Danio rerio: one gene and its partners. The protein of the gene in region 2 purifies or fractionates together with the protein of the main gene of each other region. This does not show direct contact. Links are inferred from orthologs where the notes say so. Each region holds a gene or a part of one and is shown on either strand. Other genes may lie near its edges.

Region 1 (4,265 bases), about 2.4 Mb from region 2:
CATCCCACAGAGCAGATGGCGCTTACAGGTATACACAAAAACTTTTTAATGGTTTGCTTTTTTTTACACAATGTCTTATATTTCTGTGTCTTGTTTATTAATATATGTTGGTGAAAAACGAATCAATATGTATTTTTATTAAAATGATCAATTGACAATAACAATTTCCACAGTATAGAATATATAATCCAGCAACTGGATTGTAAAGAACGCCTATTTCATTTATATCACAGATCAGTAATATTCGTCTGTCTATCTGTAAATGGTTAAAATTGAAGGAGAAGAATATGCTTAAATCTAATGAAATAAAAATGTCGGATTTTTAATTCAGAAAAATCTCAATTGTCTGAATTTTAAATTAAGATTTTTAAAATATTTTTAAAAATAAATGCAACTTAATTTCTATAATTTCGCTGGTTTAAATCCAAGCTCAGTTGCCATTTCTGCGTGGAGTTTGCATGTTCTCCCCGTGTTCTTCAGGTGCTCTGGTGTTCCCCACAGTCCAAACTAGAGATCTGCGCAGCACTAAATTTTGAATCCCGCTCCCGCCAGGTTTTAGCCCTAACCCGACCGCTCCCGCTTATATTTAGCATTTGTTGTCCCTCTGCCCAACCCGCCCCGTTTTCTACCCGTTGCGCCCATTTTCGCTAACGGACGAGGGGGAGAACAAAAGCGAAAACCCCCCAGCTATACAGAGTCCAGACAGCCTATAACAAACTATAACACACACACAAGCACCAAGCAAGTGACACACACACAGACAGCATCACGCTCTTTCTCTCATTCACGCATTCACGCATAAACACACACACAGCACAAAGCTCTCTCTTTCATATACACACACACACACACACACACACACACACACACACACACACACACAGCAAGAAACAAGCTAAGCGCAGCATCAGGCTGTCTCATTCACACACATACATACATACGCGTGCTTGCTCGCTCAGGAGTCAGGAGTGATATTGTTAGACCGCGAGCTTCTGTACAAAATTAAACCAGTTACCGACCGCTCCTGCGCTTCTTTCGGAAATTTATCTCCGCACCGCAAGAAATCTAGTCGGCCGTAGTGTACGAGTGTGAATGCGAGTGTATGGGTGTTTCCCAGTACTGGGTTGCGGCTGAAAAGGCATCAGCTGTGTAAAACATGCTGGATAAGTTGGCGGTTCATTCCACTGTGGCGACCCCTAATGAATAAAGGGACTAAGCCGAAGTGAAATAAATGAATAAATAATAATAACAAATGTTATAAAAATATTGTGAAAATGCCTTTGCTGTGTTGAACGGTGCTCGGGATAGATTTAAAAACATATTACAATTTCACAAGAGAGCTTTTAATATTGCCTTCAACTGTGTGTGATTGTCTGCTGATCTCTCATGATGCTGCTAATGAGGAGTTATTTCATGACTGAGGGCTGTACTGCATTAAGACTGAGATGTTTCTCTCTTTCATATAGATTTGTATTTCCCAGATGCTTTTAAATGTGATTTGATCAATGGCTGTGCTTTTTTCTTTTTGCTAATGTTGCCTCTGTGTTTGTTTTGTCTGTTCCTGACAGCGTCCGGGGACCAGACGGCTCACATCTGGCGTTACATGGTACAACTGCCACTTCCACAGCCTCCAGCAGACATCAGCGTGAGTATTAAACACACACGCACACACAAACACCCACAGAGACATGCGTACACACACGCGCATGCAGACGCAGACAGATACACTTAGACGCATATGACACACGTGTACAGACAAACATACACACAAAGGCAGACAGATGCGTACACAAATGCATACAGTACACACAAACGCAGTACACACAAACTAATTAGTTAACAGTAAGTGTAATATTAGTAATAATAAATATACAATTTAGTAATACTAAAATGTTCTGTGTAATAAAACGAAACAGGTAAAAAGTATTGAACACATGAAGGGAGGTGTGGAAATGCATGGAAAGCCCAGACAGCAGCTGAAATCTCTCAGTAGTTCTTCAGTAACCCTCTGCTTTTCCTCAGTGTAAATGAATATCAGCTGCTTCAGTCCAACATCTACATTAGCAGGATGATGGAGATGAAACCAGGGTGGACATTTCAGCAAAACAATGATCCATAACCAAGTAGACTTTCAAATGCTTTCAGAGAAAGAAAATCAAGCTGTAGAATGGCCCAGCCAATCATCTGACCTAAATCCAATACAGAATCTCAGATTTGATAGACGAGACCCACAGAACCATTCATTCATTTTCTTGTCGGCTTAGTCCCTTTATAAATCCGGGGTCGCCACAGCGGAATGAACCGCCAACTTATCCAGCAAGTTTTTACGCAGTGGATGCCCTTCCAGCCGCAACCCATTCCTGGGAAACATCCACACACACTCATACACTACGGAAAATTTAGCCTACCCAATTCACCTGTACCACATATCTTTGGACTGTGGGGGAAACCGGAGCACCCGGAGGAAACCCACACGAACGCAGGCAGAACATGCAAACTCCACACAGAAACGCCTACTGAGCCGAGGCTGGAACCAGCGACCTTCTTGCTGTGAGGCGACAGCACTACCTACTGCGCCACTGCTTCACCCACCCACAGAACCATATGTATAATATTGTGAAGCATCCTATAGAAAATAATATGAATGTAAAAGCGAGATCTGTAAAGGGTGTACTCATTTATCCTGTGCACTGTAAACCCTTTAATTATAGAAAAGTGTTTTATTTTTTATGAAATGTTTGTCAATTTGATCAGTTTTTCTGGTCATAATAACAGCTGGAGATGCTGAAATGGTAATGAAATCAAATTACCTCAAACATTTGCTCTTGTCATTTCCTGTGCGACTCAGGCCTCGCTGGACGATGACGTGGATTTCTCTGATAAAGACGAGGCAGACGGCGACGCTGATGGACCCAATGAATGCCCCACCATCCGCGTGGCCACAACCACCTTGAAGAGCCACCAAGGCGTGGTGATCGCCGCTGATTGGCTGGTGGGAGGAAAGCAGGTGGTCACTGCGTCCTGGGACAGAGCCGCAAACCTGTACGATGTGGAGACCTCGGAGCTGGTGCACACCCTGACAGGTGAACATGAGGAGAAATAAATCAACATTTACTAATGTGTTTAAGGAGAGTTATTATGGATATTTTAATTCATTCATTCATTTTTCTTTGGCTTAGTCCCTTATTTATCAGGGGTCGCCACAGTGGAATGAACCACCAACTATTCCAGCATATGTTTTACACAGTGTATGTCCTTCCAGCTGTAACACCCATACACACTCATACACACATTTTAGTTCACCAATTCCCCTATAGCGTATGTGTTTGAACTGTGGGGGAAACCGGAGCACCCAGAGGAAACCCATGCCAACATGGGGAGAACATGCAAACTTCACACAGAAATTCTAACTGACCCAGCCGGGACTCAAACCAGTGATCTTGCTGTGAGGCGACCACTGAGCCACCAGTTTTTAATATTTGTTGTTTTTTATTTCTTATACTCGTTTCTTTTATTCTTGTTCATGTAAACCACTTTGAATTACCATTGTGTGTGAAATGTGCAATATAAATAAAGTTGCCTTGTTTATTATTTGTTAAACCCTCAACTACAACTCAGTTGTATTGTATCAACCTCTACCCCAGCTCTAACCCTCACCATTACCTGTTTGTGTGTGTTTGCAGGTCACGATCAGGAGTTGACCCACTGCTGCACTCATCCGACTCAGCGTCTGGTGGTCACTTCATCCAGAGACACCACCTTCCGCCTGTGGGACTTCAGAGATCCCTCCATCCACTCAGTCAATGTCTTCCAGGGCCACACCGAGTGAGTCACATCATCTTATTGACCGTCGACATATAAACAACCTGCCAAAATGAACATTTGGTGTCACTTTAAATTACTGTATGCTTGTAAAATATTAATATTAGAGTAAATTAAAGTGCTTTTTATAGAAATAATATGGTATAATATTTTTTAATATGACATAATAATATAATAACAACAACAATAATAAATATTATTATTATATTTTAATAAATATTATATATTTATTAAATAAATACATATTTTTGTATTAGACCATAGATAAAGTTATGAATATTTTTTCAAAATGTTTTCCATAGTCATATTTTAATAACATTTTCAGTTCTTAAAGTGTTATGATTTTATTATTTAAACATACTTTAAAAAAAATGAATGAATTAAGATATTAAAATTACAACGCCAAACACAATGTGATAAAAAATCAATGCATCCTAAAATAT
Region 2 (4,199 bases):
TTCTCCTGCGGTCGGCGCTGTAGTATCGGTGCGACCCGAAGCGTGCTCGGTCATGCGGAGGGAAAAGCTTGCCATTTTACATCAAACCTGACAGGCCGCTTTCCTATCAAATGTTGCGCTACCTGTCGAGCAACTTCTTCTTAAGGAATTACAACACAATTAAAGCTTGATAAACATCTCGATGGTGGGGTAAATCTCCTCTTAGGCATTTCCAACAGGTGTTTTGTGTCAAAATGACGCGTTAAACATTATGCTGTTTGACACAAATAATCGTAGAGGACAGATTTTTTTTCTCAAAAGGTTTCTTATCAGATTTAGATCAAGTGTACACTAAACAGATGATCAATAAAGTCAATATTTTCTATTGTAACTGCAAAATGAGTCTAGAAATATTGCAGTCATATGGATAAATCAGGAGTGTAAATTTACTCTTGACATTGGTGGGGACCTATGAATTATGAATTCAGATTTTTTTATTTGCTGCAAAATCCCTTTACGTTAACATTGCTATTTTATTTATTTTATTCCACTCTATATACAATACAATTCATTAAGTTTAATTAAGGGAATTAAACTTACTGTTACAAATGCTTTATAGAGTTTAATTAAGACGTTTATTTATTTTAGCCATAGCACAAACGAAACGTGTCTCATACATCAGTATGAATTAAAGTTGGTGGAGCACAAGCTTTAGTTTTTCAAACAGTAGTTTCAACCAAAATTCGACATGCTACTCTGAGAGATAAGGAGAGCTGACAGATTAAATTATAGATGAGGACATTTCAATTAGGAGACACGTCCCCTCCACCCGTGCTAATTCTACGCCCCTGAGATAAATGGTCAATAAGCCAAAATTTGCTAAATCAGAAACACATAAAAATACTTTCATTAGTACTTTAAATAATAATTCAATAAAAGAAAATATAAATATTATATATATTTTTTTAAATATTAAATAAAATAAAATAAATATATGTTTTCAGTGTGTATGTTTTTACTCATTTATAAAATAAATATTTATATTTAATGACCAATTATAAGCTAAATAAAATGAAGTATGTCAGGAAGTAAAATATATCAAATCAACTATATACGTCTGACCAAGTCAATTCTCAAGAATCAGAACAATAAAGTATAATATTTCTTGTTTCTTTTGTCATTACAATTGTGGAATAATGATAAAAAGTCATTTATATTAAAGCGATTTGAAGATTAAACTAACTGAAATGTCCTTTTGTGTAACATTCATGTCTAGATGTCTAGATGTCTAGATAGATAGATAAATAGATAGACAGACAGACAGACAGACAGACAGACAGACAGACAGACAGACAGACAGACAGACAGACAGATAGATAGATGATTGGATAGATAGATAGATAGATAGATAGATAGATAGATAGATAGATAGATAGATAGATAGATAGATAGATAGATAGATAGATAGATAGATAGATAGATAGATAGAATGTTTTAAAATTTTTAAAAATTGTATTAATAGATATTTTAATGACCAATTATAAGATAAATAAAATTAATTATGAATACTATGTAAAATCAACTATTTATATCTAAGTTTGGCCACACAAAAAAAGTTATCAAGGATCAGAACAATAAAGTGTAATATAGCTTGTTTTTTTGTCATTAGAATTATTAGATAGATAGATAGATAGATAGATAGATAGATAGATAGATAGATAGATAGATAGATAGATAGATAGATAGATAGATAGATGTTTCAAAACATAATATTTAGTATGATCACTTAATTCAATTTTATAATAATTATACAGTAAGGTAAGGTCAAAAGTTGGGAGTCCTTTTTACAGGATGCTGAATGACAACTGAATTAGTTCACCCACATTTCAACATTATTTCCTTTAAAAAGTAAGTACATTTTAAATGTTAAACACAGATTACTTGTATTTATTACACTTTGTATGTATTTTGTCGTTTGAATTGATGTGGAAAGCAAAATATTATTCAAAACCCTATCAATAAACTAATAATACGACCGCAATCAAACTTCTAAGAAATGTTTATTACTATGTTATTACATAATATCACTAAATAAATATAAGAATGCCTTTGAACAAATAAATACATTGAATAACATTGTAAAAAGTATTTAAAATCGGTGATTACCAAATACGCTCTTGAAGTATTAAGTTTTAAGTTGACCACTTAAGAGTTTAATAATCTATTAGAAAAACAACGTAACAAACAGCATTGCAGGAAGCCGACCTGATATTATTTGATAAAAGAAACAAACAAAGGTGAAATAAAACATGACTGAAGCTCAGCTTTATACGACCTCTCGTGTTCCCATTTGACACACTAGTTCAGTTTTATTATCAAGTATAAGCAAACACAATCAGTTGAAGTCCTTTCATATCTAATCTTCTCCTATCGAGGCCAAAATCTCACATCCTCCTTTCTGAAGTTTGACACAGATATGAGCAAAACTTCAAATGTCTAAGTTAAAGAGTATCCAGACACACCCTCAATGTAAACGAAACAAATCCCGAACACGATCACAAATCTGATCGTCAAACCGCTTAAACAAGTCAAGCTCTACATCGAAATATCGCCTTTGATGTCTTCAAAGAATCTCCCAAAAAGCGGCTCATCCCTGCTTTCCCGTTTTACAACCATATTTCCTGTCCGACTCCCAACAGCAGTGCTGGAGATCAGCGCGTAACAGAGAAAACGCGCGCGCGCGCTTACCTGAACATAATTATTCTCACAGTAATCCGCGACTCTCGTCAGGTTCTGGTAACTCTCCACGAGAGCTCGTTTACCGGCTGGGATTTCTTCCTCTAGTAACATCTGCAACTCTGCCATCTTACATGTCTCCGCAGAGCTTCCTACTCCTCGTCTGTGGGATTTGATTGAGAGCTCAAGCTCAGCCCTGCTGGTGATGTCGGAGTCGTTCTTTTGAACCGAGTCTTTTTGGTGAGTCAATTGAGCTGGTTCATAAATCCGGACTGAACGAGTCGAATATACGACAAAGCTGTTCTGGAGTCAGCGACTCACTGAATCACTGAATCAAAAAAAAGCACTCTTAAAGGGATAGTACAGCTAATTTTTGTAAATTTGCTAGTAAATAAATAGTTCACCCAATTCATTTACCCTCAAGCCATCCTCTATGTATATGACTCTCTTCTTTCAGGCGAAAACAGTATTTTTAAGGAAATATCGCAAAGTTACGAAGTATGCTATCCAACTTAGATGCAGAAAAGCTAGTTCATGCTTTTATGACCTCAAGATTAGATTACTGTAATGCTCTGTTCGCTGGTTGCCGAGCATCCTCTACTAATAATATGCAGTTAGTGCAAAATGCAGCTGCCAGAGTTCTTAACAGGTCTACAATATATGACAATATCATCCCAATTTTATTCTCCCTACACTGCCTGTTCAGTTCCGTATTGATTATAAAACATTGCTTCTAACCTATAAAGCTTTAAATAATCTAGCTGATGTTTATCTAACCAACCTTCTGTTCTGCTACAATCCAGCCCTCTCTTTAAGATCTCAAAACTCACTGTAAAATGACTGATGTTTTCATTACAGACACACATCGGTCCACTTCATGAGACATGCATTAACCCCTTGACAGCATATGGGTTAGTTTGGTGATGGATTGAAACCTTTTTGGAAGCTTCAAAATAAAAGCCACTATCCAACACTATTATACAGCATGGAAGAGCCAGGATAAAATTGAAAACTACTCTGAGTGTTCGTCTGGCAGAAAAAAGGAGGATTAAGGGTGAGTAAATTATGGGGTAATTTTCATTTTTGAGTGAACTAGAAGCTTAGTCCCTTTATTAATCCGGGGTCGCCACAGCGGAATTAACCGCCAACTTATCCAGCACGTTTTAACGCAGTGGATGCCCTTTCAGCTGCAGGAAACATTATAAATCGGTATAAAATATTATTTGAACATATTTAGCTTCTATTTAGTTATTACAGTTTAGTTATTACAATTTCAGAAATTATGAATAATAAAATCTCTGATTATTTAAGTAATTTTACATTTTATTCTAATTATTCTAAATTAATTCATTGAATATAGATATATGTTTTAGTTATAATTAATTATATAGTTAATTATTCTTTTTTTTTCATCTTAGTCCCTTTATTAATCTGGCGTCACCACAGCAGAATGAACTGTCAACTTATCCAGCACATGTTTTAAG
Region 3 (3,654 bases), on a different chromosome or scaffold from region 2:
TACATCTGGGGTCTTTTAACTTGATCCTGGTAGACCACTCTCCTAAAAACTCCAAGCCTAGTAAAAAATCTAACTCTAACAGGTAATCAATAGTTTGGATCAACTAGAAACCTACAGACAAATATGTTCAATCTGCAGGATGTTGGTCTTTCAGGAGCAGGATTCTATATCCCTGCATGACATACTGCATGTTAATGAGAAGGTTTTGTGAAAGAGTGCATCCATTTATGTGTGCGTACCTTCACCTTCCTTCTGTCTGTGTGTCTGTACCAGGTCAGAAGCAGGATGAGCAAAAAAAGCTGACTGTACACTACACTGCTTCCCAGCACTACCAGGAGAATGTGTTCATAGAGGGGAGCAGGCCAAAATATCTGGAGGACCTGCATACAGAGGCTCAAGAGGGACTGAAGATACTACAGCAGGAGGGTGAGCATTACACCCACCTTTTCCAATTACACAAAACACACTGCTCGCATTCTGGCCTTCTAACATACACTTGTGTTTTCTGATGCACCTCACTCAGTCTTTCTTCCATACAGAGAACAAAAATGGAGCGGACTTTCAGGATGACCATATTGTGGTAAGCCTCTGAAATTTAAGTTTTTCACAAATAAAGTACAATATGGTAACAAGTAAAATCATAAATGACAAGTTCCTGAAAATGTTTTAACTGTAATTTCGTATTTCTTCACATTTTAAAGAAGGGTTGAAATAATGTATAAATTGAACCTTTAAAGGATGTATTTATACGGTTGAACTCCTTGCTTGCACAGCCAGAGGAAGACACAAGCTCAAAAGAAAGGAATGAATCGCTTGAGAACGATAGCACCTCAGGACACTCCATCATTTCAGTGTCGACTGCCTCAGCAGTCTCTTCACGTCCAGTGCTTACACGTCAAGGTATACAATGCTGACTTAATAAGAAGTTTTAAAATAAAACATGCTTAGTGGCACTGCCTCTTTGTTTTTCCCCACTAATTTGTTTTCAGGTTTAACAATTGCAGTTGACACCAGTGGTGCTCAGCCCTGTACCTGGAGCTCTACCTTCCTGCAGATTTCAGTTCTAACCCTGTTCAATCACATCTGAACTAATTTATTAGGACCTGAACAGTAGAAGTTTAAGCTAAAATATGCAGGAAGGTAAATCTCCAGGAACTGGACACCCCTGGTTTACACTGCATGGCAGTAGCTTGAGCAAGTTATCATAGTAATAGCAATGCAAAGAAAAAAAAAATACATTTTATATTGCTTTAATTAAAAAATATTTAATCTCTGTACGAACTATCACTCTTTAGGTTCTACATTTAAGCCCTTAAACCCTGTTAAACGACTGGATAAGTCCAAGAGACGGAGTCGAAGAACAACTATCATGGGAATACCACAGCAAGTTCAAAGAGAACTTGGTATGTAAAGCCATTGACATATATTAAGGCATCATTGTTTGAGCATAGCATACCTCAAATCAGTAGTGCCAACAAGTATGTAAGACTATGATTTTCCACAAAATTAAAAGAAATTATAATAATTGCTTATATATTTTGTATACCTTAGATATGGCAAGAGGAACTATGCTGCAGCAGCTTCCAAACAGAGGACATGACAGTGAAGATGATTCATCTGGAACAGTTGTTCTACAAACAATTGATGGAGATCTCCCATCTGTAAATCATGAAGGGGCTCGTGTACACCTGCAGAACATTGAAGTCCTTCAGGCATCAAGAGATGAAGACTTGCTTTTGAACCACATCCATTCTGTCTACCAAGATGAGTTAAACAGAAAGCTTGGACTTGGAGCATGCCCTACACAGAGGCCTAAGTCACTTGCTGTGCCAGGGATGACCACTTACTCTTTCCTACAAGAGCCTCAAGGCCCTGTTATGTCTATTTCTCCACAGGCAACATATTTATCTAAGATTATTCCAAATGCAGTTTTGCCAGCTGCAATAGATATCATTGAAATCAATCATGATCACAACCGATGCAGTGCAAGTACAGCTAGCAAGGGTAGTATGGCATCAGCTAGCCCATCTTCTTCACGGTCTGGAAGTGGGACAAATCAAGCTCCTCCCACTACTAGTCCCAGCAGGAGCAATTCACAATCATCGGAGACTATAGTCTCCAATTCATCCACAATCTCTTCAAAAGGAAAGTGTCTACCAACCTTTGATGCTGACAGCGCCAAAGACATTTCAGTTTTAATCCCAAAGGACATGAGTGTTTCGAGCTCAAGCAGTTGGAAAAGTTCTGAGGGGAAAGGTACAAATCACAGACTGAACCCCAGAGAGTATGGTGATGCAGGGGACAATGTCAGAAACAGCCATTCGTTCTCCCGTAGTCTTTCTGTTATGAAGACAAAATTACCACCAGCACCACCTCAGAGAACCTACTCTCTGCATCATGAAAACATGCAGAGACAGAGAGAGCAGGGAGACATACAAGATCCCAAAGATGTGGCACCAAATAATAATGAGCAAACAAACAGAGATATCAGCAGTACAAAAGAAAATCATCAGTCCGCTAAAAACAAGAAGAGTTCAGTCCATTCTTTAGAGCTTAGATCAGACTTCCACACAACTGTGAAATCTAGTCCACTTAGTCCTGATCAAGTTTTCACTGGAAGGCATGCCAGATCAGGTAACTCATCCCCACAGAAAACTAGAGAATGTGGTGAAAATTTTGATAGGACTTTGTCTCCTTCAAGTGGCTACTCAAGCCAAAGTGGGACACCTACGCATTCCCCTAAAGAGGTCAGTCCCTCCTCACCTGGAAAGAGAAGAGTAAAGCCTTCAAAACCTGAGAGAGTATTTGCAAAGACTTCACCTGTGGTTTCGGTGTCTTCATCACTAACATCTCTGTCTTCAGTCATATCAGATACAGCACATCAGGACATTCAAACCAATACCACTTCATCGGAACCACTCAAATTCTCCCCTCCACTTACAACAGTGAAAAACAAAGTTACACCTACACACCAAACTATTGCTCTTAGGACACTATTCAACATTCCCCCACCACCCAAGGTAAAAGCCCCATCTCCCCCACCCCCTGAAACCTGGGTTCAAAATAAACAGACCCTTGAACTACTATGTGGCCCAGGCCCAAACATCCATAAGTTGGAGTCATTAATATGTAAAACTCAAAATAAAAATTCAATGCAAATCAATGAACAAGTAATTCCAAAGACACAGACAACAGAAGAAACTAAGACTGAGAACACAGTTGTAAAAGAGCTAACTAAATCTGCATCACCACAAGTGCATAAACAAATGATGGTAGAACCTCCAGATGTAAGGCATACAGAAAAGTCCATTTTACATAATGAATTAAAAAGTCCAGAAACACTTGCAAAGGTAAACCAGATCCCTCACACACAAGATGAGAAAACGATAGAGGACCAAAAGGACAGATGGAGTCAAACACTTCCTACAACAAATGTACCATCTATTATAGTTGATCAAAGCATGCTGTCACAAACAAACTCTATAGAAAAAACAAAAGCTGCAACTGTGAGCAGCAATGAGAACCAAAGAAACTGCATTGTTACCGACATCGTGAATCGTATATCAGTGCAAACACTCAGTATAGAGGTACCTGAGGTCAATGGAATTTCTCCACCTCCTTCTCCACCTCCAGAACACCACCCTCCTCCCCCAC

The links.
Region 1: the proteins of abi1a (region 2) and nck1b purify together in Homo sapiens (co-immunoprecipitation; 4 studies listed by BioGRID and IntAct, with this or other methods). This does not show direct contact. The link is inferred for Danio rerio from reciprocal best matches to the Homo sapiens genes ABI1 and NCK1.
Region 3: the proteins of abi1a (region 2) and nhsl3 purify together in Homo sapiens (affinity purification with mass spectrometry; 3 studies listed by BioGRID and IntAct, with this or other methods). This does not show direct contact. The link is inferred for Danio rerio from reciprocal best matches to the Homo sapiens genes ABI1 and NHSL3.

What each region holds. Positions count from the first base shown.
Region 1 is NC_133199.1:3,692,806-3,697,070, forward strand, and holds the start of nck1b (SH2/SH3 adapter protein Nck1), read right to left. Parts: upstream 2,849-4,265; 5' UTR 2,811-2,848; intron 1,646-2,810; coding exon of another isoform or gene 1,569-1,645; intron 29-1,568; coding exon of another isoform or gene 1-28. Other genes in the region: wdr37 (WD repeat-containing protein 37), read left to right, coding at 1-28, 1,569-1,645, 2,849-3,083, 3,684-3,825. UniProt on the Homo sapiens protein: Adapter protein which associates with tyrosine-phosphorylated growth factor receptors, such as KDR and PDGFRB, or their cellular substrates. Maintains low levels of EIF2S1 phosphorylation by promoting its dephosphorylation by PP1.
Region 2 is NC_133199.1:6,125,485-6,129,683, reverse strand, and holds the start of abi1a (abl interactor 1a), read right to left. Parts: upstream 2,950-4,199; 5' UTR 2,845-2,949; coding exon 2,728-2,844; intron 1-2,727. UniProt on the Homo sapiens protein: May act in negative regulation of cell growth and transformation by interacting with nonreceptor tyrosine kinases ABL1 and/or ABL2. May play a role in regulation of EGF-induced Erk pathway activation. Involved in cytoskeletal reorganization and EGFR signaling.
Region 3 is NC_133194.1:33,366,359-33,370,012, reverse strand, and holds part of nhsl3 (NHS-like protein 3), read left to right. Parts: intron 1-273; coding exon 274-426; intron 427-539; coding exon 540-580; intron 581-773; coding exon 774-900; intron 901-1,295; coding exon 1,296-1,403; intron 1,404-1,551; coding exon 1,552-3,654. UniProt on the Homo sapiens protein: Able to directly activate the TNF-NFkappaB signaling pathway.